Caenorhabditis elegans: one gene and its partners. The protein of the gene in region 1 interacts with the protein of each later gene in a biochemical or structural test. Each region holds a gene or a part of one and is shown in the gene's direction. Other genes may lie near its edges.

The links.
Region 2: of the proteins of ced-3 (region 1) and aco-2, one has a biochemical effect on the other in vitro, tested with the Caenorhabditis elegans proteins (one study listed by BioGRID).
Region 3: of the proteins of ced-3 (region 1) and vha-13, one has a biochemical effect on the other in vitro, tested with the Caenorhabditis elegans proteins (one study listed by BioGRID).
Region 4: of the proteins of ced-3 (region 1) and lin-28, one has a biochemical effect on the other in vitro, tested with the Caenorhabditis elegans proteins (2 studies listed by BioGRID).

What each region holds. Positions count from the first base shown.
Region 1 is NC_003282.8:13,198,113-13,205,932, reverse strand, and holds ced-3 (Cell death protein 3 subunit p17), read left to right. Parts: upstream 1-1,795; 5' UTR 1,796-1,866; coding exon 1,867-2,001; intron 2,002-2,064; coding exon 2,065-2,210; intron 2,211-2,488; coding exon 2,489-2,742; intron 2,743-3,930; coding exon 3,931-4,262; intron 4,263-5,174; coding exon 5,175-5,388; intron 5,389-5,442; coding exon 5,443-5,570; intron 5,571-5,643; exon of another isoform or gene 5,644-5,793; intron 5,794-5,924; coding exon 5,925-6,164; intron 6,165-6,640; coding exon 6,641-6,703; 3' UTR 6,704-7,672; downstream 7,673-7,820.
Region 2 is NC_003281.10:7,971,889-7,977,862, forward strand, and holds aco-2 (putative aconitate hydratase, mitochondrial), read left to right. Parts: upstream 1-1,828; 5' UTR 1,829-1,836; coding exon 1,837-1,914; intron 1,915-1,952; exon of another isoform or gene 1,953-1,958; coding exon 1,959-2,044; intron 2,045-2,699; coding exon 2,700-2,958; intron 2,959-3,027; coding exon 3,028-4,150; intron 4,151-4,209; coding exon 4,210-4,731; intron 4,732-4,804; coding exon 4,805-5,070; 3' UTR 5,071-5,361; coding exon of another isoform or gene 5,362-5,424; 3' UTR 5,425-5,467; downstream 5,468-5,974. Other genes in the region: F54H12.5 (uncharacterized protein), read right to left, coding at 1-36, 81-214; eef-1B.1 (putative elongation factor 1-beta/1-delta 1), read right to left, coding at 576-709, 757-1,187, 1,306-1,382; C06G4.4 (uncharacterized protein), read right to left, coding at 5,362-5,424, 5,479-5,805. UniProt on the Caenorhabditis elegans protein: Catalyzes the isomerization of citrate to isocitrate via cis-aconitate.
Region 3 is NC_003283.11:14,349,987-14,354,961, forward strand, and holds vha-13 (V-type proton ATPase catalytic subunit A), read left to right. Parts: upstream 1-1,722; 5' UTR 1,723-1,730; coding exon 1,731-2,555; intron 2,556-2,836; coding exon 2,837-3,065; intron 3,066-3,165; coding exon 3,166-3,932; 3' UTR 3,933-4,436; downstream 4,437-4,975. Other genes in the region: cept-2 (diacylglycerol cholinephosphotransferase), read left to right, coding at 1-458; Y49A3A.3 (tRNA:m(4)X modification enzyme TRM13), read left to right, coding at 4,464-4,956. UniProt on the Caenorhabditis elegans protein: Catalytic subunit of the V1 complex of vacuolar(H+)-ATPase (V-ATPase), a multisubunit enzyme composed of a peripheral complex (V1) that hydrolyzes ATP and a membrane integral complex (V0) that translocates protons.
Region 4 is NC_003279.8:8,407,130-8,412,810, reverse strand, and holds lin-28 (Protein lin-28), read left to right. Parts: upstream 1-2,006; 5' UTR 2,007-2,007; coding exon 2,008-2,148; intron 2,149-2,890; exon of another isoform or gene 2,891-3,079; coding exon of another isoform or gene 3,080-3,127; intron 3,128-3,470; coding exon 3,471-3,677; intron 3,678-4,314; coding exon 4,315-4,650; 3' UTR 4,651-5,179; downstream 5,180-5,681. Other genes in the region: F02E9.1 (Vacuolar ATPase assembly protein VMA22), read right to left, coding at 5,222-5,293, 5,337-5,489, 5,544-5,628, 5,681-5,681. UniProt on the Caenorhabditis elegans protein: Heterochronic protein which controls the choice of stage specific cell fates. Regulates the timing of the second larval stage events (L2 events) in the hypodermis.

The sequences.
Region 1 (7,820 bases):
TCGCCGATTTATTGTTGCCAGAAAGATTCTGAGATTCTCGAAGTCGATTTTATAATATTTAACCTTGGTTTTTGCATTGTTTCGTTTAAAAAAACCACTGTTTATGTGAAAAACGATTAGTTTACTAATAAAACTACTTTTAAACCTTTACCTTTACCTCACCGCTCCGTGTTCATGGCTCATAGATTTTCGATACTCAAATCCAAAAATAAATTTACGAGGGCAATTAATGTGAAACAAAAACAATCCTAAGATTTCCACATGTTTGACCTCTCCGGCACCTTCTTCCTTAGCCCCACCACTCCATCACCTCTTTGGCGGTGTTCTTCGAAACCCACTTAGGAAAGCAGTGTGTATCTCATTTGGTATGCTCTTTTCGATTTTATAGCTCTTTGTCGCAATTTCAATGCTTTAAACAATCCAAATCGCATTATATTTGTGCATGGAGGCAAATGACGGGGTTGGAATCTTAGATGAGATCAGGAGCTTTCAGGGTAAACGCCCGGTTCATTTTGTACCACATTTCATCATTTTCCTGTCGTCCTTGGTATCCTCAACTTGTCCCGGTTTTGTTTTCGGTACACTCTTCCGTGATGCCACCTGCTCCGTCTCAATTATCGTTTAGAAATGTGAACTGTCCAGATGGGTGACTCATATTGCTGCTGCTACAATCCACTTTCTTTTCTCATCGGCATGCTTACGAGCCCATCATAAACTTTTTTTTCCGCGAAATTTGCAATAAACCGGCCAAAAACTTTCTCCAAATTGTTACGCAATATATACAATCCATAAGAATATCTTCTCAATGTTTATGATTTCTTCGCAGCACTTTCTCTTCGTGTGCTAACATCTTATTTTTATAATATTTCCGCTAAAATTCCGATTTTTGAGTATTAATTTATCGTAAAATTATCATAATAGCACCGAAAACTACAAAAAATGGTAAAGTCTTTTAAATCGGCTCGACATTATCGTATTAAGGAATCACAAAATTCTGAGAATGCGTACTGCGCAACATATTTGACGCGCAAAATATCTCGTAGCGAAAACTACAGTAATTCTTTAAATGACTACTGTAGCGCTTGTGTCGATTTACGGGCTCAATTTTTGAAAATAATTTTTTTTTTCGAATTTTGACAACCCGTAAATCGTCACAAGCGCTACGGTAGTCATTTAAAGGATTACTGTAGTTCTAGCTACGAGATATTTTGCGCGCCAAATATGATGCGTAATACGCATTCTCTGAATTTTGTGTTTCCGTAATAATTTCACAAGATTTTGGCATTCCTCTTTAAAGGCGCACGGATTTATTCCAATGGGTCTCGGCACGCAAAAAGTTTGATAGACTTTTAAATTCTCCTTGCATTTTTAATTCAATTACTAAAATTTTCGTGAATTTTTCTGTTAAAATTTTTAAAATCAGTTTTCTAATATTTTCCAGGCTGACAAACAGAAACAAAAACACAACAAACATTTTAAAAATCAGTTTTCAAATTAAAAATAACGATTTCTCATTGAAAATTGTGTTTTATGTTTGCGAAAATAAAAGAGAACTGATTCAAAACAATTTTAACAAAAAAAAACCCCAAAATTCGCCAGAAATCAAGATAAAAAATTCAAGAGGGTCAAAATTTTCCGATTTTACTGACTTTCACCTTTTTTTTCGTAGTTCAGTGCAGTTGTTGGAGTTTTTGACGAAAACTAGGAAAAAAATCGATAAAAATTACTCAAATCGAGCTGAATTTTGAGGACAATGTTTAAAAAAAAACACTATTTTTCCAATAATTTCACTCATTTTCAGACTAAATCGAAAATCAAATCGTACTCTGACTACGGGTCAGTAGAGAGGTCAACCATCAGCCGAAGATGATGCGTCAAGATAGAAGGAGCTTGCTAGAGAGGAACATTATGATGTTCTCTAGTCATCTAAAAGTCGATGAAATTCTCGAAGTTCTCATCGCAAAACAAGTGTTGAATAGTGATAATGGAGATATGATTAATGTGAGTTTTTAATCGAATAATAATTTTAAAAAAAAATTGATAATATAAAGAATATTTTTGCAGTCATGTGGAACGGTTCGCGAGAAGAGACGGGAGATCGTGAAAGCAGTGCAACGACGGGGAGATGTGGCGTTCGACGCGTTTTATGATGCTCTTCGCTCTACGGGACACGAAGGACTTGCTGAAGTTCTTGAACCTCTCGCCAGATCGTAGGTTTTTAAAGTTCGGCGCAAAAGCAAGGGTCTCACGGAAAAAGAGGCGGATCGTAATTTTGCAACCCACCGGCACGGTTTTTTCCTCCGAAAATCGGAAATTATGCACTTTCCCAAATATTTGAAGTGAAATATATTTTATTTACTGAAAGCTCGAGTGATTATTTATTTTTTAACACTAATTTTCGTGGCGCAAAAGGCCATTTTGTAGATTTGCCGAAAATACTTGTCACACACACACACACACATCTCCTTCAAATATCCCTTTTTTCCAGTGTTGACTCGAATGCTGTCGAATTCGAGTGTCCAATGTCACCGGCAAGCCATCGTCGGAGCCGCGCATTGAGCCCCGCCGGCTACACTTCACCGACCCGAGTTCACCGTGACAGCGTCTCTTCAGTGTCATCATTCACTTCTTATCAGGATATCTACTCAAGAGCAAGATCTCGTTCTCGATCGCGTGCACTTCATTCATCGGATCGACACAATTATTCATCTCCTCCAGTCAACGCATTTCCCAGCCAACCTTGTATGTTGATGCGAACACTAAATTCTGAGAATGCGCATTACTCAACATATTTGACGCGCAAAATATCTCGTAGCGAAAAATACAGTAACCCTTTAAATGACTATTGTAGTGTCGATTTACGGGCTCGATTTTCGAAACGAATATATGCTCGAATTGTGACAACGAATTTTAATTTGTCATTTTTGTGTTTTCTTTTGATATTTTTGATCAATTAATAAATTATTTCCGTAAACAGACACCAGCGCTACAGTACTCTTTTAAAGAGTTACAGTAGTTTTCGCTTCAAGATATTTTGAAAAGAATTTTAAACATTTTGAAAAAAAATCATCTAACATGTGCCAAAACGCTTTTTTCAAGTTTCGCAGATTTTTTGATTTTTTTCATTCAAGATATGCTTATTAACACATATAATTATCATTAATGTGAATATCTTGTAGAAATTTTGGTTTTCGTTCTAGTATGCTCTACTTTTGAAATTGCTCAACGAAAAAATCATGTGGTTGTTCATATGATGACGAAAAATGCATTTTTTATATATTTTCCCCTATTCATGTGTGCAGAAAAATGTAAAAAAGCGCATGCATTTTTCGACATTTTTTACATCGAACGACAGCTCACTTCACATGCTGAAGACGAGAGACGCGGAGAAATACCACACATCTTTCTGCGTCTCTCGTCTTCAGCATGTGAAATGGGATGTCGGTCGATGTAAAAAAATGTCGAATAATGTAAAAAATGCATGCGTTTTTTTACACTTTTCTGCACAAATGAATAGGGGGAAAATGTATTAAAATACATTTTTTGTATTTTTCAACATCACATGATTAACCCCATTATTTTTTCGTTGAGCAACTTAAAAAGTAGAGAATATTAGAGCGAAAACCAAAATTTCTTCAAGATATTACCTTTATTGATAATTATAGATGTTAATAAGCATATCTTGAATGAAAGTCAGCAAAAATATGTGCGAAACACCTGAAAAAAATCAAAAATTCTGCGAAAATTGAAAAAATGCATTAAAATACATTTTTGCATTTTTCTACATCACATGAATGTAGAAAATTAAAAGGGAAATCAAAATTTCTAGAGGATATAATTGAATGAAACATTGCGAAATTAAAATGTGCGAAACGTCAAAAAAGAGGAAATTTGGGTATCAAAATCGATCCTAAAACCAACACATTTCAGCATCCGCCAACTCTTCATTCACCGGATGCTCTTCTCTCGGATACAGTTCAAGTCGTAATCGCTCATTCAGCAAAGCTTCTGGACCAACTCAATACATATTCCATGAAGAGGATATGAACTTTGTCGATGCACCAACCATAAGCCGTGTTTTCGACGAGAAAACCATGTACAGAAACTTCTCGAGTCCTCGTGGAATGTGCCTCATCATAAATAATGAACACTTTGAGCAGATGCCAACACGGAATGGTACCAAGGCCGACAAGGACAATCTTACCAATTTGTTCAGATGCATGGGCTATACGGTTATTTGCAAGGACAATCTGACGGGAAGGGTACGGCGAAATTATATTACCCAAACGCGAAATTTTTGCCATTTTTGCGCCGAAAATGTGGCGCCCGGTCTCGACACGACAATTTGTGTTAAATGCAAAAATGTATAATTTTGCAAAAAACAAAATTTTGAACTTCCGCGAAAATGATTTACCTAGTTTCGAAATTTTCGTTTTTTCCGGCTACATTATGTGTTTTTTCTTAGTTTTTCTATAATATTTGATGTAAAAAACCGTTTGTAAATTTTCAGACAATTTTCCGCATACAAAACTTGATAGCACGAAATCAATTTTCTGAATTTTCAAAATTATCCAAAAATGCACAATTTAAAATTTGTGAAAATTGGCAAACGGTGTTTCAATATGAAATGTATTTTTAAAAACTTTAAAAACCACTCCGGAAAAGCAATAAAAATCAAAACAACGTCACAATTCAAATTCAAAAGTTATTCATCCGATTTGTTTATTTTTGCAAAATTTGAAAAAATCATGAAGGATTTAGAAAAGTTTTATAACATTTTTTCTAGATTTTTCAAAATTTTTTTTAACAAATCGAGAAAAAGAGAATGAAAAATCGATTTTAAAAATATCCACAGCAACGAGAGTTTGAAATTACAGTACTCCTTAAAGGCGCACACCCCATTTGCATTGACCAAAAATTTGTCGTGTCGAGACCAGGTACCGTAGTTTTTGTCGCAAAAATTGCACCATTGGACAATAAACCTTCCTAATCACCAAAAAGTAAAATTGAAATCTTCGAAAAGCCAAAAAATTCAAAAAAAAAGTCGAATTTCGATTTTTTTTTTGGTTTTTTGGTCCCAAAAACCAAAAAATCAATTTTTCGTCAAAATACCAAAAGAAACCCAAAAAATTTCCCAGCCTTGTTCCTAATGTAAACTGATATTTAATTTCCAGGGAATGCTCCTGACAATTCGAGACTTTGCCAAACACGAATCACACGGAGATTCTGCGATACTCGTGATTCTATCACACGGAGAAGAGAATGTGATTATTGGAGTTGATGATATACCGATTAGTACACACGAGATATATGATCTTCTCAACGCGGCAAATGCTCCCCGTCTGGCGAATAAGCCGAAAATCGTTTTTGTGCAGGCTTGTCGAGGCGGTTCGTTTTTTATTTTAATTTTAATATAAATATTTTAAATAAATTCATTTTCAGAACGTCGTGACAATGGATTCCCAGTCTTGGATTCTGTCGACGGAGTTCCTGCATTTCTTCGTCGTGGATGGGACAATCGAGACGGGCCATTGTTCAATTTTCTTGGATGTGTGCGGCCGCAAGTTCAGGTTGCAATTTAATTTCTTGAATGAGAATATTCCTTCAAAAAATCTAAAATAGATTTTTATTCCAGAAAGTCCGACGAAAAAATTGCGATATAATTACGAAATTTGTGATAAAATGACAAACCAATCAGCATCGTCGATCTCCGCCCACTTCATCGGATTGGTTTGAAAGTGGGCGGAGTGAATTGCTGATTGGTCGCAGTTTTCAGTTTAGAGGGAATTTAAAAATCGCCTTTTCGAAAATTAAAAATTGATTTTTTCAATTTTTTCGAAAAATATTCCGATTATTTTATATTCTTTGGAGCGAAAGCCCCGTCCTGTAAACATTTTTAAATGATAATTAATAAATTTTTGCAGCAAGTGTGGAGAAAGAAGCCGAGCCAAGCTGACATTCTGATTGCATACGCAACGACAGCTCAATATGTTTCGTGGAGAAACAGTGCTCGTGGATCATGGTTCATTCAAGCCGTCTGTGAAGTGTTCTCGACACACGCAAAGGATATGGATGTTGTTGAGCTGCTGACTGAAGTCAATAAGAAGGTCGCTTGTGGATTTCAGACATCACAGGGATCGAATATTTTGAAACAGATGCCAGAGGTACTTGAACAACAATCGATCTGCTAACTTTTTAAGGCACAGAAAAATAGGCAGAGCGTCCTTTTGCAAGCCTGCCGCGCGTCAACCTAGAATTTTAGTTTTTAGCTAAAATGATTGATTTTGAATATTTTATGCTAATTTTTTTGCGTTAAATTTTGAAATAGTCACTATTTATCGGGTTTCCAGTAAAAAATGTTTATTAGCCATTGGATTTTACTGAAAACGAAAATTTGTAGTTTTTCAACGAAATTTATCGATTTTTAAATGTAAAAAAAAATAGCGAAAATACATCAACATCAAGCATTTAAGCCAAAAATTGTTAACTCATTTAAAAAATTAATTCAAAGTTGTCCACGAGTATTACACGGTTGGCGCGCGGCAAGTTTGCAAAACGACGCTCCGCCTCTTTTTCTGTGCGGCTTGAAAACAAGGGTATCGGTTTTAGATTTTTCCCCAAAATTTAAATTAAATTTCAGATGACATCCCGCCTGCTCAAAAAGTTCTACTTTTGGCCGGAAGCACGAAACTCTGCCGTCTAAAATTCACTCGTGATTCATTGCCCAATTGATAATTGTCTGTATCTTCTCCCCCAGTTCTCTTTCGCCCAATTAGTTTAAAACCATGTGTATATTGTTATCCTATACTCATTTCACTTTATCATTCTATCATTTCTCTTCCCATTTTCACACATTTCCATTTCTCTACGATAATCTAAAATTATGACGTTTGTGTCTCGAACGCATAATAATTTTAATAACTCGTTTTGAATTTGATTAGTTGTTGTGCCCAGTATATATGTATGTACTATGCTTCTATCAACAAAATAGTTTCATAGATCATCACCCCAACCCCACCAACCTACCGTACCATATTCATTTTTGCCGGGAATCAATTTCGATTAATTTTAACCTATTTTTTCGCCACAAAAAATCTAATATTTGAATTAACGAATAGCATTCCCATCTCTCCCCGTGCCGGAATGCCTCCCGGCCTTTTAAAGTTCGGAACATTTGGCCAATTATGTATAAAATTTTGTAGGTCCCCCCCATCATTTCCCGCCCATCATCTCAAATTGCATTCTTTTTTCGCCGTGATATCCCGATTCTGGTCAGCAAAGATCTTTCTCATAGCCCATTCCATTCGAGCTTTCTAATAGGAATTTGAAAATTTTCGAAATTCCAGTAAATAATATTGGAAAATGGATTTTTCGAGTTTTCAGCAACACAAATTTACTTGAAACCCCATTTTCCAAAATTTCAATTTTTTCAAATTTCCCGCTATCTTCCAAAATACTCTTGTACGTTTATTATATTTCCCTCGTTTTTCTTCGATTCCTCCTCTCCGCGCACCCAATAAGTTTTATATATGTTGAGATTTATATAGCTTGTTATTATAATTATATATTTATAGATTATTATAGTTGCTTTTCTCGCCGTATGTTTGTGTGTGTGTGATTGGTATACATAGATAAAAGAAAACAAGGTGTTAACAAAACAAAGGTGAAAAATAATCAACAATTAAAGAAGGAAACAAGCTAATATAAAATTTCGCACATATATGATATGCAAGCTTCTGACAATTCCCTAGTGAGTACTACAGATTAAGAATATGTGCACAAAAATTAAAGGCTGAATTTAAGCTTCTCAAACCTCCCAG
Region 2 (5,974 bases), on another chromosome or scaffold:
ATTTCACATTTTTTCGAAGCAAGTGATAGTTCCAACCTGAATTCAAGGTGTTTGTCTTATTATATAAAGTATTAACTTACAAATCAATAAAGTCTATATGAAGAAGTACATTCTTCAAAGCAAGTGTAGGAAGTGATAATAAACGAAAAGGTGACATTTTTTTGAATAACTGGAAATACAAAATGGGGAGAAGAGATCTCGAGATGAACAGCATGCGGGGTCTACTTACTATTAGAAAACATCGATTGGTTTTCCCACAAGGTAAAAATATATGGTCTCGTTGCGAACGGGAATCTGGACTGTATAGTGGTGACCCTGCCCACTTCAGTCTACCCCTTCCAATTATTCTTATATCGTAACTTTGTGCAATTATGAGACTTCATACGATTTTCAGAAGAGAATGAACTGTGCTTCTAATTTAATCATAGTTCTTTAAAAAACAATTTTTTTCGCTTTCGTAGTCGGGAGGATTTCTTATTGATGCTCAGAGTGTTTCTTTCAATGTTGTAACATTTTTTGCAATATATGGGTTCATTTATCTTGATGAAAACATAACAAGAAATATAAAGATTCCTCTAGATCTTGTTGAAGGCGACAATGTCGACGGATTGGACGTGATCCTCGAAGTCTCCGGTGATCTTCTCGATGAGGTCATCAACCGAAACCTTGAGATCCTCGATAACAGTGATGATCTGGAGCTTCTTGATTCCTGAAAGTTTACATAAATTTTAATTGTGTGAATTTCAATCCACTAACCGTATCCAATTGGGATAAGCTTAGCTCCTCCCCAGACAAGTCCGTCCATCTCGATAGAACGAACGAGCTTCTCCATCTCTCCGAGGTCGGTCTCATCGTCCCATGGCTTTACATCAAGAATGACTGAAGATTTAGCAATTGGTCCAGCCTTCTTGGCCTTCTTCTCGGCGTAAGCGGCGAGACGCTCCTCAACGATCTTTGCCTTCTCGGCATCTTCCTCCTCATCGTCGGATCCGAAAAGATCGAAGTCATCTCCATCAGCAGCAGCGGCAGCTGGAGCTGATCCTCCGGCGGAAGCCCAGGTCTTGCGCTCAGCATCAGTGTAAGAAGCTACATTAGCGTACCAACGGGCAACATTTGGATAGGTGGAGGCGTTTGGGGCGGATCCGAGAGCGGCGAAAAGTTGGGCGTCCTCTCCAGACAAGACGAAGCTATAATTTTCAAATTATTTCAATGAATAGACTATCTGAAAAATTTACAAGAGTTGATTACACCTATTTTCTGCATTTTTTCCTAAAAATTGCATAACTTCAGAATTTAAAGACTAACCCAGTGGCAAAAGCCTGCTCGGCGAGAGTAGTGTTGAAAGCAGCAAGTCCAGCTGGGCTCTTGACGTCGGCAACCATCTTTTCAGGAGTGAAACACGAAGGAATGATGCTAAAAGTCCTACAAATAGGTTAGTGAATAAAATCGTTGCGAGACTCAAAGTCTGTCGAAACCCCATGCGCCTTCAAACGAGCATAGCGCCAGTGATCATTCAATGGCGTGTTTGCTGACCGGAGGCGCCCAAGTTTCGCGCTTTCATTTCTCCTCCCATTCATTTTCGGCATGCACGCCGTCTCTGCTGACCGATGCGTTATCATTTTCTTTTCGGTTCGCTGCGGAATCACTTGTTTTCGTTCCGAGGGGTTATTTACTGCAGAGAAAAGCTTTTTAATTGTTCCAAATTAAGTTTTAGGCCTGTGTTTATGAATATTATCCTTTCTTTTAATTTTTTTAAATAGGTTCTATTTCTTTCCCTTTGTCGGACAGGAATTTCTGTGAAAATCTTTCATTGTTCTGTAATTTACAGGAGAAACCATGAATTCTCTTCTTCGGTTGAGCCACTTGGCTGGACCTGCACATTATCGCGCACTTCACTCCTCTTCGTCCATCTGGGTATTCAAACCTAAGCATAATTATTATAAATCTTTTGTTTTCAGAGCAAAGTTGCAATCAGTAAATTCGAGCCGAAGTCGTACCTCCCGTACGAGAAACTATCTCAGACTGTGAAGATTGTGAAAGACAGGTGTGTAAAGTTCAATTTGTTTAGCTTGTCAAGTACAAAGTATCTTCACTGCTTTCTGTTCGTTATCATACAATTAATGATGTTTATGGTGAATAGTCATGTGCGCCACTGACATTACAACACATACAGTTCAGTTATAGGTTCTTTTATGTTATTTCTAACTCTCGAATAGTGAAAGCTCACCCAAATCGCAGTCACAAGCCAAGGGTCGCAGAGAGAAACAAACAGAGTTCCGTTGTAATAAGAAGATGGGTTAGAGCGTCATTGAGAGAACCAAGAAAACGTCGAATCTTTTCCATCTCTGTTCTCTGATTAATGTCAACATGTTGTGAGAGGGCGTTTTGACCATAATACAGTTTCATAAGTGTACATCACTATTCTTTTCAACTTTTGATGATGCAAAATCTAATTTCTGGTGTCATTAATTGTGATGTCACAATAGAAATTATGAAAATTATCTAGTTGAACGTTGCATAGAAATTCATGTGGACCACATTCTCTAGTCTCCAGACTGGTCGAACTTTGAAGCCGAGGTGATATTTGCCGTGTGACAGTACTTTGAACTCATGAAGGAAACATCGTTAAGTCTAACTAAAAACTTTAAAAATAGATTTTAGTTTTTCTACTGATAAAAACAAAAAATATATTGTTTCAGATTGAAACGTCCATTGACGCTTTCCGAAAAGATTCTCTATGGACATTTGGATCAACCAAAAACTCAAGATATTGAGAGAGGAGTTTCATACCTTCGTCTTCGTCCAGATCGTGTTGCTATGCAAGATGCTACCGCTCAAATGGCTATGCTCCAATTCATCAGCTCCGGACTTCCAAAGACAGCTGTTCCATCAACTATTCATTGCGATCATTTGATTGAAGCTCAAAAGGGTGGAGCCCAAGATTTGGCCCGTGCTAAGGTTTGTGATATTTGCGAAAAAATTATTTTACTTAAATTTTCTTCACCCTAAATATATTTCGATTTCTAGGACCTCAACAAAGAAGTCTTCAACTTCCTTGCTACTGCTGGAAGCAAATATGGAGTTGGATTCTGGAAGCCAGGATCTGGAATTATCCATCAAATCATTCTTGAGAACTACGCTTTCCCAGGACTTCTTCTCATCGGAACTGATTCTCACACACCTAACGGAGGAGGACTTGGAGGACTTTGTATTGGAGTTGGTGGAGCCGATGCTGTAGATGTTATGGCTGATATTCCATGGGAGCTCAAGTGCCCGAAGGTCATTGGAATCAAACTCACTGGAAAGCTCAACGGATGGACTTCTGCCAAGGACGTTATCTTGAAGGTTGCTGATATCCTCACTGTCAAAGGAGGAACTGGAGCTATTGTTGAGTATTTCGGCCCAGGAGTGGATTCTATTTCTGCAACTGGAATGGGAACCATCTGCAACATGGGAGCCGAAATCGGAGCTACGACATCTGTCTTCCCATACAACGAGAGCATGTACAAGTATCTGGAAGCTACTGGACGTAAAGAAATCGCCGAAGAAGCCAGAAAGTACAAAGATCTCCTCACTGCTGACGATGGAGCTAACTATGATCAAATCATCGAGATCAACCTCGACACTCTTACTCCACATGTCAACGGACCATTCACTCCAGATCTTGCCTCTTCCATCGACAAACTTGGAGAAAACGCCAAGAAGAACGGATGGCCACTCGATGTAAAGGTCTCACTTATCGGATCATGCACCAACTCTTCATACGAAGACATGACCCGTGCTGCTTCCATTGCCAAACAAGCTCTTGATAAGGGACTCAAGGCTAAGACCATTTTCACCATCACCCCAGGATCCGAGCAAGTCCGTGCCACTATTGAAAGAGACGGACTCTCCAAGATTTTCGCTGATTTCGGAGGAATGGTTCTCGCAAATGCCTGTGGACCATGTATTGGACAATGGGATCGTCAGGATGTGAAGAAGGGAGAAAAAAACACAATTGTCACATCATACAACCGTAACTTCACCGGAAGAAATGATGCGAACCCAGCCACTCACGGTTTCGTTACTTCTCCAGATATCACAACTGCTATGGCCATCTCCGGACGTCTTGACTTCAATCCACTTACTGATGAGCTCACCGCCGCTGATGGTTAGTAACATTTTGAATAGTTATATTTTTTCATTACTCAACCTCGTTTATCATTTCAGGAAGCAAATTCAAACTCCAGGCTCCAACTGGACTCGACCTTCCACCAAAGGGTTACGATCCAGGAGAGGACACATTCCAAGCCCCATCTGGAAGCGGACAGGTTGATGTATCTCCATCTTCTGATCGTCTTCAACTTTTGTCTCCATTCGACAAGTGGGATGGAAAGGACCTCGAAGATATGAAGATCCTCATCAAGGTTACCGGAAAATGTACTACTGATCACATTTCTGCTGCTGGACCATGGCTCAAATATCGTGGACATTTGGACAACATTTCGAATAATCTTTTCCTTACGGCTATCAATGCTGACAACGGAGAGATGAACAAGGTCAAGAACCAAGTTACTGGAGAATATGGAGCCGTTCCAGCCACTGCCCGCAAATACAAGGCTGATGGAGTTAGATGGGTTGCTATCGGAGACGAGAACTACGGAGAGGGTTCATCTCGCGAACATGCTGCTCTTGAGCCACGTCATCTTGGAGGAAGAGCTATCATCGTGAAATCCTTCGCCCGTATTCACGGTCAGTTAGTCTTCAAAATAAATAAAATTTACCTTGCTTATTTCCTCAACGCGCCATAACTTATTTTTTTCAGAGACGAACTTGAAGAAACAAGGAATGCTCCCACTCACATTTGCCAACCCAGCTGACTACGACAAAATCGATCCATCAGACAATGTTTCTATCGTCGGACTCTCCAGTTTTGCTCCAGGAAAGCCACTTACGGCTATTTTCAAGAAGACCAATGGATCAAAGGTGGAAGTGACCTTGAATCACACCTTCAACGAGCAACAAATCGAGTGGTTCAAGGCCGGATCTGCCCTCAACAGAATGAAGGAAGTATTCGCAAAGAGCAAATAAATGTTTCATTGGAAAACTATTTTCTCTTCAAAACCTGTAGTAAATACTCATTTTCAACAAACTGTAATGTAATGTATACTGAATTGAAGTATTTTGAAAATTCATTAGAGAAGTGAAAAACATTTTCTAAATACTTCAGTTCATTCCCAATTTTCCCATAGTAGTCATCACAACCTCCATGAGATTGTTTTTATGTATGAGTAGATATTGTTTTGTTTCGTTTTCGTTTTTTTGTAATTGATTCTTATTTCCATGAAAAGACACAACTATTTATTCTTGTTCATTTATTGATCATTTACGAAGACGGGCGAAGATACTGAGGGCCACCGTGACGATTCCAACGCCAAGAAGAGCCTTTAAAATAAACTGATTGGAGTATACTCAAATGAAAGCTAAATCCAAATTTACCGAGTTATCATAAGTGAATGCACAGATCTTTGATGCCAGAGTGTTTTGTGAAGAATGATCAGTTGTTGTGGTTTCCATTGGATGCGAAGGATCAACCGGTCCGGCTTTTCCACCATCACCATCACTCTTCAGAAGATCATTCAACCAATCATCCTGTGATTCTTCATCACCATTTCCAACAACTTCAACGTCAGAAATATCACTGACAACCACGTCACCAGCTCTATCTTTAATCTTCATTTTGCGAAGTTTCTTAATGCGTCGCTGTTTTGCCACCGCTTTTTTATAATCAGCAGATTTTTCGCTTCTCTTCGGTGCTTCTGACATTATCGAAGTGGATTCAGCTGCAAGTTAGAAAAAATTAGGAAAGAAAAATAAATCCAATAAATTCACCTTTTCAATTAGCTTGTATTGAGTGATAAAAAACGAAGAACTGAATATTTTATGATGAAGTAATTGAACCGAATATTATAAACTTTACGTAGGAAATATACTT
Region 3 (4,975 bases), on another chromosome or scaffold:
GCTACTTATCAGTCATCTTCACAGATGGTGTTGGAAAGAATGGATCAACTGTTGCTGGAACATCAGTTCTCTTCCCAGCCTGCCCACTTCTTGCAGTCATTGTTCCATATTGTATGATCTACAGCAAATCGGCATCTGGCGTCTATGATGATCTTATTGTTATATTTGTTCTTCAATTTGGAGCCGTTGCGGCAAAAGCCACAAATCGTCTGATTGTTGCACACATGAGCAGAAGTGAGCTCTCACTTTGGGATTGGATCTACATGGGGCCAATCGCATTGATGATCAATCAATACTACGACATCAAAATCAATGAGCCAACTCTTCTGAAGTACACGACTGTTTACGTTTATGCATCACTTTTAGTCTACTGTTTATTCATAACGCGCCAAATTTGCGACCATATGGGCATTTATTGTTTCAAAGTCACTGCACCAAGAGCTGGAAGTAGCAAGTAATTTCGATTGTATAATTAAATATGGCTTTTCACCTATAGTAATTTGTAATTTTAATTGTAAATGCGGGTGTTTATGAGCGGAAAAGGAATGTTTTGAAGTGCAACGCGTAATGCGTCGCGGTCTCAATTTCTTATCACAACCACAGATCAATCACTTTTCATCTTTTTTTTTGTCTCATCGTCTAAACCTTCAAGAATTCTAACGACTACGTAATTCTAAATAACTGAATGAGCAAATTGGGGAGAAAATTACATTTTCGTTGCGAGACCTTTCGTTTTTGAGCGTCCTGTGCCTTTGAAGAGATTACTGTATGGAAATATTGGTTTAACTTTTTTTTCAGAGTTTGCGGATATAATTTTTCTTTTTTTTCGTATCTATTTAATCGAAATTTAGAAAACAACTATTGTTATAATGATACTGTGGTCCAATTGTTAAGGCGAATAACTTGAAAATAGTTCCAAACGAACATAAATTTTCCGCTCAAACCTCGCAAATCATATTTTTCCTATCTAATAGAGTAACTTCGCTTCCACATTAGTTTATCAAATTTCGCTTGATGACAGACGTGTAACCTTTTCTCCCCGCTACCTAGATAGACGTAAACCTACACAACTTCTGCCACACAAAATTCACTCTCTCACATTCACTCCTCGCTGTATAAAATTCTCGGTTCAATAGGGCGAAGCTGCAACGCGGCGATGATTTCTAGTCGCACGACCGGCGGTTCCTGGTTTTTGCGACCGCCACGGCCACGCTCTCTCTATCTGCTCTCTGCTCTCGGCGCGCTGTCTCTCGCTAGCCTGCCGACGTTTCTCCTTGTCAATCGAACCACTTCTATTCGTTGTAGAATGCCGTGCAGTGCGCTCTCTTCCACATCTTCCGCTTTTTCCAACAACTTCTGTGAGCTTTTTTACCACATCTCTCTCCCCCCGTTTAGTCACAGGAATTACTCGTTTTTTTGTCTCGTTTACCTTTACTTTGATTTTTTCCTTTACAAAAGTTCTTGTAAATTGAATGATAAATTGATTTATATTCCAATTCTCGTTGAATATTTATAAGGGTTCAAGTTTATCCGATTAAACATTGCCCTGCCACTTTATATCTATTCTTTGTATTTTATATTTTGCATTATTGCTCGAATTAATGAGTTTTCCTACTTCTAAACCTAAAAATTCCATTGTCTTTTCGGTCTTCTTGTTGAAAAACGAGGTTTATTTTGATTTTCTTTTCGATTTCCATATAGCTTTCTAAATTCATTCATTCCAGGAAAAGATGGCCGCAGAATCTTCGTACGGATTCGTTTACGGAGTGTCCGGACCTGTCGTCACAGCCGAGAAGATGGCTGGATCGGCTATGTACGAGTTGGTTCGTGTAGGACATCAAGAGCTCGTCGGAGAGATTATTCGTCTCGAGGGTGACTACGCCACTATTCAAGTATACGAGGAAACATCTGGAGTCACAATCGGAGATCCAGTACTTCGTACCGGTAAACCACTTTCCGTCGAACTTGGACCAGGTATCATGGGATCGATTTTCGACGGAATTCAGCGTCCACTCAAGGATATTGCTGATATTACTCAATCCATCTACATTCCAAAGGGAGTCTCCACTAATGCTCTTTCTCGTGAAGCTCGCTGGGACTTCGTTGTGTCCAAGGATCTCCGTGTTGGAGGACACGTGACCGGAGGTGACATCATTGGAACCGTCGATGAGAACTTGCTCATCAAGCACAAGATTCTTCTACCACCAAGTGCATGCGGAACCATCACCTTCGTTGCTCCATCCGGGCAATACACAGTTGAGGACACCCTTCTCGAGCTCGAATTCGCCGGACGCAAGCAGAAATTCTCTATGCTCCAAATCTGGCCTGTCAGATCTCCAAGACCAGTCACAGAGAAGCTCGCTGCCAACAATCCACTTCTCTGCGGACAGCGTGTTCTCGACGCCTTGTTCCCATGTGTCCAAGGAGGAACCACCGCCATTCCAGGAGCTTTCGGATGTGGAAAGACTGTCATTTCCCAATCTCTCTCCAAATACTCCAACTCTGATGCTATTATTTACGTCGGATGCGGAGAGCGTGGAAACGAAATGTCTGAGGTAATTTTTTTGAAAATAATTTTAAAAACATTAGAAAAAATCAAATAAACAAGAAAGCCTTTCCATAATTTCGTTTTTGGAATCAATAGTTTTAATTTTTCAAAAAAAAATTGTGAAAAAGTTTAGTCAGAATAGTTTCGTTTAAGAATAAAATTTAGAAAACAATTAAAAATTAAAAGGTTTATGTTTCTTACTTTTTCCAATGTTTTGTCCCGCATTTAAATTATAAATTAACAATTTTGCCCCTATTTTTTACAATTCTAATTTTTTCTGTTTTTCAGGTACTCCGTGATTTCCCAGAGCTCACCATGGAGGTCGAAGGTGTCACCACTTCCATCATGAAGCGTACAGCTCTTGTCGCCAACACTTCCAACATGCCTGTCGCTGCTCGTGAAGCTTCCATCTACACTGGTATCACCCTTGCCGAATATTTCCGTGACATGGGTCTCAACGTTGCCATGATGGCTGACTCTACCTCTCGTTGGGCCGAAGCTCTTCGTGAGATTTCTGGTGAGTTTTAATCCGTTTAAAATATACTCATATTTGAAATTCATATTTTTTTCTTAATATTTTTGAAATTTCTCTGAACATTTTCAAATTTTCTTTTCAGGACGTCTCGGAGAAATGCCCGCCGATTCCGGATACCCAGCTTACCTTGCCGCTCGTCTCGCTTCCTTCTACGAACGTGCCGGACGTGTTAAGTGTCTCGGATCTCCAGAACGTGAAGGATCCGTCACCATTGTCGGAGCCGTATCACCACCAGGAGGAGATTTCGCCGATCCAGTCACATCCGCCACCCTCGGTATCGTACAGGTGTTCTGGGGACTTGACAAGAAGCTTGCTCAACGTAAACATTTCCCATCTATTAACTGGCTTATTTCCTACTCCGAGTACATGCGTGCTCTTGAGGAGTTCTACGAGAAGAACTACCCAGAGTTCGTCTCACTCCGTACCAAGTGCAAGGAGATCCTCCAGGAAGAAGAAGATCTTTCCGAAATTGTGCAACTCGTCGGAAAAGCTTCCCTCGCCGAATCAGACAAGGTCACACTTGAGGTTGCCAAGATCATCAAGGACGATTTCTTGCAACAGAACGGATACACCAAATACGATCGTTTCTGCCCATTCTACAAGACTGTCGGTATGCTCAAGAATATGATTGGATTCTATGACTTGGCCCGTCATGCTGTTGAAGCAACTGCTCAATCTGATAACAAGATCACATGGAACGTCATCAAGGATAGCATGGGAGATTTGATCTACCAGCTTTCTGCCATGAAATTCAAGGATCCAGTTGCCGATGGTGAAGCCAAGATTCGCAAGGATTACGAAGATTTGGCAGAGGCTATGGCTAACGCTTTCAGAAACCTCGAGGATTAAATTAATGTTTTTAGAAATTTTAAAATTGATTCTCTTGTTTGTTTCTGTTTTCGCCTCCCCGCTAGATTCTGTTCAGTTTTGCTGAGCGTGTACTTTTTAGTTAAAAGTATATGTTTTTCCTTGATCCCCTCACCCAATTCGCCTCCTTTCTCTACTTTTATCCTCTTTAAAGTGTTTGATTGATTTGACATTCCAAATTTCAGATATTTATTGCACCTTTTTTCTCTTTTGTAGATTTCTAAACTTCAAAAAATTCCAACCACACACAATGTATCTGGTCGCCTTACAACTCCCGTTTTAAACAACAATTTCACTTATATTAATCAATATTTTTGGTATTCTTCTTGTTGAATAGACTACTTTACTTGTGCCCTTCCATTTCTTTTTTTGCGACAACCAACCCGTATAGTCTTACGAACCACGTTTTACTGTGTTGTGATATGTATAATACTTTTGAGACACACCAATTCAACTATAGCAATAAACTTTAGGAAAATCACAAATATCTCGCACGCAGGTCTCGTTTTCAAAATGGAATTGGATTCGGTGAAGCAGCAACAACAGCAGAACGCTTGCTGTGAATATATTCTACCAATTAAGAAGCGACGGTGTAAGATGCTGGTGAAAAAGGGAAATCGGTTCTGTGGAGAGCATTCAATTCACGATCAGAATAACACTGATCGTATGGTTTGCCCGAATGATGGAAAACATACGATTCTGAAGGCAGATCTAGAGATTCATCTGACAAGGTGTAATTCTAGAATCAGAGATGCAGAATATATCAAAATTGATGCAAATTCTATTCGTGGCGAGACCAAACGCACCGATAAAATTGATCGAAGAGCCACTGAAGATGAGATTTGTACCACTGTGCACAAGATCTGGAAGTGCTATGAGACGGATGTAATGGATCGTTTGATTGTTGAGCAACAAAGAAATGAGCTCGTCGAGCAAAATATCGCACAAAATTCAGATCTGAACAACACGAAAAAGAAGCAATTATACCAGATTTCGTCTATTTTAGGTTTTATAAAATGCATTTC
Region 4 (5,681 bases), on another chromosome or scaffold:
GTCTATGATGTGAAATTGAGAGTGTGAAGATTGAAAAAAATCGGAGATATATTTAAAAAATGAATGTGAATACGAGAAATCAATCAAAATAAACAATTATTCTAAAAAACAAATCGATAATTGAAACTTCCAGGTTACGGTAGTTTTAAAGGCACACAACAATTCACTTGCTTTGGGTCTCGCAGCGCATATGGTTCACTTTTTGAAAATTTTATTCTGAGCTTGATTTTCTCCATTTCAAACATGTTTTATTTAATTGAATTTAAGATTTATTTGTGTTTTCATTGTGAAATATTTATCCGAAAGTCTCACCAAGACATTTCTCGATATCTACTGCCATAAAACCCATCCAGCATTCCTGTCTGTCCGATCACATCTCGGAGCGCTTTTCTGTTGAAAAAACCTTGGCATTGAAAAATAGCGTGTGAGATGAAGAAATACAAAGAAAACAAGAATAGAGAGGAAACGGGGCACAAACGAAGAGACAAGAAAATGATGTGTGCAAGGCGTTTGTGTTTCGGTTTCAACACTATTTAAAATATTCGTTTTTCTTTTGGTTTCTGGGTTTTGAAACCAGTATTTAATTATAACTTAAATTTTTCAAAAGCTAGAAAATCATTGATAAAAGCTTTTTTTTTAATTTTTAAGTTATTTTCGATTCCGCAGAAAATCTTTTGCACTATGAAATCAAAAAGATACCAATCATCAAAAACCTCTGAATCTCATCTCTTTCCCGTCGAAAAAATAACATAAAACATTCGTTGCCACCAGATATCCACCAACTGTTGATTATATCAGATCATCTCATTTTTATCTCCATTCCATCACTTCAAAGCCTCTTTGCAACGAAGGTGAGAAAGAAATTGAAAATTCTGCTTCTCTTCATCTCTTCTCACCGTTCTTATCTGCTTGTCAGTTCTTTTTTTGCGGCGGTTAAATATCATTCAATTTTCAATTCATTTTCTTATTCGACAATTCTCTCCTCTGCACCTAAGATCACCTGCATCACGTTTAATCCAATATGGGTGGTTTAATCAAGTCTTATAGAAAGAAATATGAATAGCTGGAAATTGATATTTCTTTTTTTCTAACTTGGAAACAACCTGATAATACATTAGTTCAAATCGAAATTTGGACTTTTGGAATAATTTGGAAAAACCAAATGCAGATGTAGAGGTGAAATAAAATTACTGTTCCAAAAAAAAAAAAAATACTGTTCCATGCTCATTTCTTTTTCCAATTTCTTTTCCATCTCCTATTGATACTGAATAAGTGATTCCTTTTTTCCGATATATCGCCCTCCGGCGCCCTGCTCCCCTTGTATAATTTCTCTTTATCTCTACCACTCTCCCCACTTTCAATGATCACTTTTTGTCCTGGCGCCTGACCCTTCGTCCATCCGATGCCGTCCATTTTTCATCTCTTTTTCTCTGCATTTCTCCATTTTTATCATACTATTTCCGTTCATTTTTCTTTTAGTATGGTGTAGAAATAGTTGTTCACGGTGGTTCAGTTGCTAGATGGGTGCAAACGCGCTCCACCGAACAAACATGCATAACTTGGCAGGGAAGTACAAAATCAAACATTCATCACAAATAAAGATAGATAATTTCATTGCGGTCATTTCTTATATGCATCGCAAAATCGACTTTGTGACGGTTTTCGAGATAGTAGCCAATATATGTTTCCAGACTGAGTATCATGAACAAACCCATCTAGTTTCTGTGCTACCGGGTGTTGATGGACGCTACTGCAAGCGCGCTGTGTTGAGGACAATAGATGATTGGCGCGGTGCCAACATCATCCGTTTGTTCAGTTTTGACATTTTCCAATCTTGCTTCTATTTGAATTTATAGTTTCTTTCTATAATTTTAATTTCATCATCGGAAGTTCAGCAATGCTTTTAATTAAAAATCTCACAATTAAGTACTGAACTACATATATGTATATTACTTTATTTAAATACGTGACGATTCTCAAAAAAAAATTTTAAAAATCTTTTTCAGGATGTCGACGGTAGTATCGGAGGGAAGGAATGATGGGAATAACCGATATTCACCACAAGATGAAGTTGAAGATAGGCTGCCAGATGTAGTTGACAATAGGCTTACTGAGAACATGAGAGTTCCTTCCTTCGAGAGGCTCCCGGTAAGTTTTTAGTTTTTTGTTTAGAATTATAAAATTATCTAATTTCCGAAAATTTTTCGTTTAAGCCAAGTTTTAATTCTCAATTTTTAAGCATAGTTAATTATAAAACATTTTCGCAAATGACTCTAAAATTAACTTTGACAATTCAATCAAACCTTACTGAATCTATCGAAACCCAGAAACAGTTTTATTTTGGTTTCTGGTGTTCCAATTTTTAGATTTTCAGAAATTTTCGGTAAATATTTTTGTAACAGTTTTTAGTTGAAGACTCCAAATATTTTTTTTGATATTTCGAAAATGTCAGTTAAGGATTTGGTACATTTCCTAAAATTTTGATCTTATTGAGAAATTTCTAGCATTGTTACACTTTTTATGATGATAATCGACCATTTAAGCATAGTACAGATAGTTTCAAACAATTTTGGAATTACTCTGACTTTGAAATTTTTTTTTTAATTGTAGAAACTTGTTTTCTTAGAATTACGCATTCTTACAAAAGATATAGAATGTTCATAAGATGTTTGAGTCGATTTCCCATTAACTGCAGGTGCATTTCATTCTTCCATCATCCGTAAATCATTATTTGGTATACGGTATCTCTCTCCTTTCTAACACTTCCGCGCGGAATAAAAACAGAGATTCAGAGAAATAGAGAGAGGTCAGCTGAGAAGAAGAAGTGTCGCGCACACAGCTCCTCGCCCAATGCCCTCCTGTCGGTTTCTCTGTGAACACTCCACATTTCAAATGATCTCTAATTCAGTTCCTCCACCGCTCACTCATCCTTTCCTCGAATCTCTGGGTTTCCTCGCCACTCTTTTTTTCTCTGTGCTCTCTCTCACCCATTACTATTATTATTTGTATGTGTGGTATTGTTGTTCTGTATATTTGATAGGTTGTATTCTCTAGTTAACACATAGTTCTAATTAGAACAATGATTGAAGCCGCTTTGGAGAATCCGGTGCCCATCAAATCTCAATTGGTATGTAACTAATTGAAATTGCAACTGAAAAAATATCACTGTTTATTTATTGATTCGATTGTAAATAGTCTCGAATTTCCAGTGACGATTCGGGGTAAAACCGGAAAAAAAGTAATTTATAAATAAAAGTCGGAGCGACGAGAAGAGCTTTAATTAAAAATATCTTAACGGTTTAGCAATTTAAAAAAAATATTTAGTTACCTAAATACTTTGAGAGTGGATTATTTATGGTGTTAAAATGAGGAAATATTACTGAAAACTCAGTAAATTAAAAAATTTATATAAAGAAGATGTCAATTAATAACTGCGTCATAATGCCTTTCAAATAATTTAATTTTTTCAGTCACCAACACCTCGATACTTTGGCTCATGCAAATGGTTTAATGTGTCGAAAGGATATGGTTTTGTGATCGATGACATCACCGGTGAAGATCTATTCGTTCATCAGTCTAATCTCAATATGCAAGGATTTCGGAGTCTTGATGAAGGAGAACGTGTATCATACTACATTCAAGAGCGATCGAATGGAAAAGGTAGAGAAGCTTATGCGGTTCGTTTTATTTTTATTTTTTCTAACAGCAAAAGTTAAAAAAAAGGTCAGCGTTCTTTAAATTTGTTTTTTCATCAAAAAAACCTGACAAAAATCAAGCATAATTCATAAAAGCTTTTCCTATTCTGTCAATTAGAAAGTATATTAGTTCTTACGAATTCTCTTTAATCTTTGTCAGTATTTTTGAAAAATAATATTTAAAAACTAAAAAAAAACGCTGCTTTAACCTATATTTTGAATGCGAGAGAAACTTTGCTTATGGTATTTTTGCGCAATTTATTGAGATACGGGAATCCGAAATTCTGAGAATGCGTATTGCACAACATATTTGACGCGCAAAATATCTCGTAGCGACAACTACAGTAATCATTTTAATGACTATTGTAGCTGTGTCGATTTAGGGGCAAAAAAAACACGAAGAATAAAAAAGAAATATCGCTGTCACTATTCGAAAAGAATTTCATTCGAGATCGTAAATCGGCACTAGCGCTAATTACAGTAGTATTAAAAAAATTACTGTAGTTTTCGCTACAGGATATGTTGTCAATGCGCATTCTCAGTTTTTTGTTCCAGTGCAATATTAAAGCAAAATAATAATGTAAATTGAAAATCCAACTCAATTTTATACAGTTTTCAGGTATCAGGAGAAGTAGAAGGACAAGGACTGAAAGGAAGCCGAATTCATCCATTGGGTCGTAAGAAGGCTGTCTCACTACGTTGCTTCAGATGTGGAAAGTTTGCGACTCACAAGGCGAAAAGTTGTCCAAACGTAAAAACCGATGCAAAAGTGTGTTATACCTGTGGATCCGAGGAGCACGTGAGCTCAATCTGTCCTGAAAGACGACGAAAGCATCGACCGGAACAAGTTGCCGCAGAGGAAGCAGAAGCTGCGAGAATGGCAGCTGAAAAATCATCACCGACTACATCTGACGATGATATTAGAGAAAAGAATAGTAATTCCTCTGATGAATAGAATCATCTAGACACTGAGAATATTGATAGAGAAATAATGGAATATATGGTCTCAAATAGATTTTGTCTCGAAATTCTTGAACATCCAAATTTAAATGTGAAAATTTTAGGAAATAATTTTGAGCTTTCTGATAGTTTTTCAGCTTTTGAAATGTATTTTATTTTGAAACCAATATTTATTTCATTTTCTGTCTCATCTAATTCTCAGTTTGCATGCGTTACTTTAACTTACACACTAACTCTTTTTTTATTCAAATTTTGATGTTTTTTTTTCAATTGTTTTACTCAAATTTCCCCTCTAAACCATACTACCACCTACCTCCTCAAATTGCACTCTCAGGGATTCTTTTTTTTTTCAAATAGAACTGATTGCACCTGTTTTCAGGATCTATAAATCTTATAATATATTTAACTTTCGTGTCTTTTCATGTTCATGTATTTCTTGCTGAAATCCATCATTTTCTCTGAAAATCTCTACTCGTAAGTTCCGCTATTGCGGGCGAACGCTGAAATAAATCGAGAGTTTTGTTTTTATATTGATTGAATACATATTTATCACAGAATCATGCAATTTAACAATCCTCAACAAGTTGGCGGGATTTGGCAAGAATTGATTGTTGGGTGGATACAAGGTCGAGAATCGTCTGAAAAATGGATTTGAAATTAAATTCCTGAGATTTTCAATACCTGAATAGAATTTCTATAAATTTTTCGAGCGTCCTTTGCAGCAGCCGGCTCAAGAACCCCAAACGGACGGAATTGTCCAGAAAATGTTTTTTTGGCTTCTTCAACGTCTTCTGATTCTCCGCTATTCTTCTTTTCTGATTTATTCTCGTCCTTCTGCAAAAAATTTAAATGTAAATTTTTGTGGAACAAAAAACGATTGCAAAAAACCTTTTTCTTATTCTTTTTGTCGTTTTTCTCTTCCTCATTCTCTGAATTTTTGAGAAGTACAAATTTCCCGTTTTTCGTATCCAATCTAAAAATGAATACACTTAAGTAAGTATAATTCAAAAAAAAGTAGTTTATACC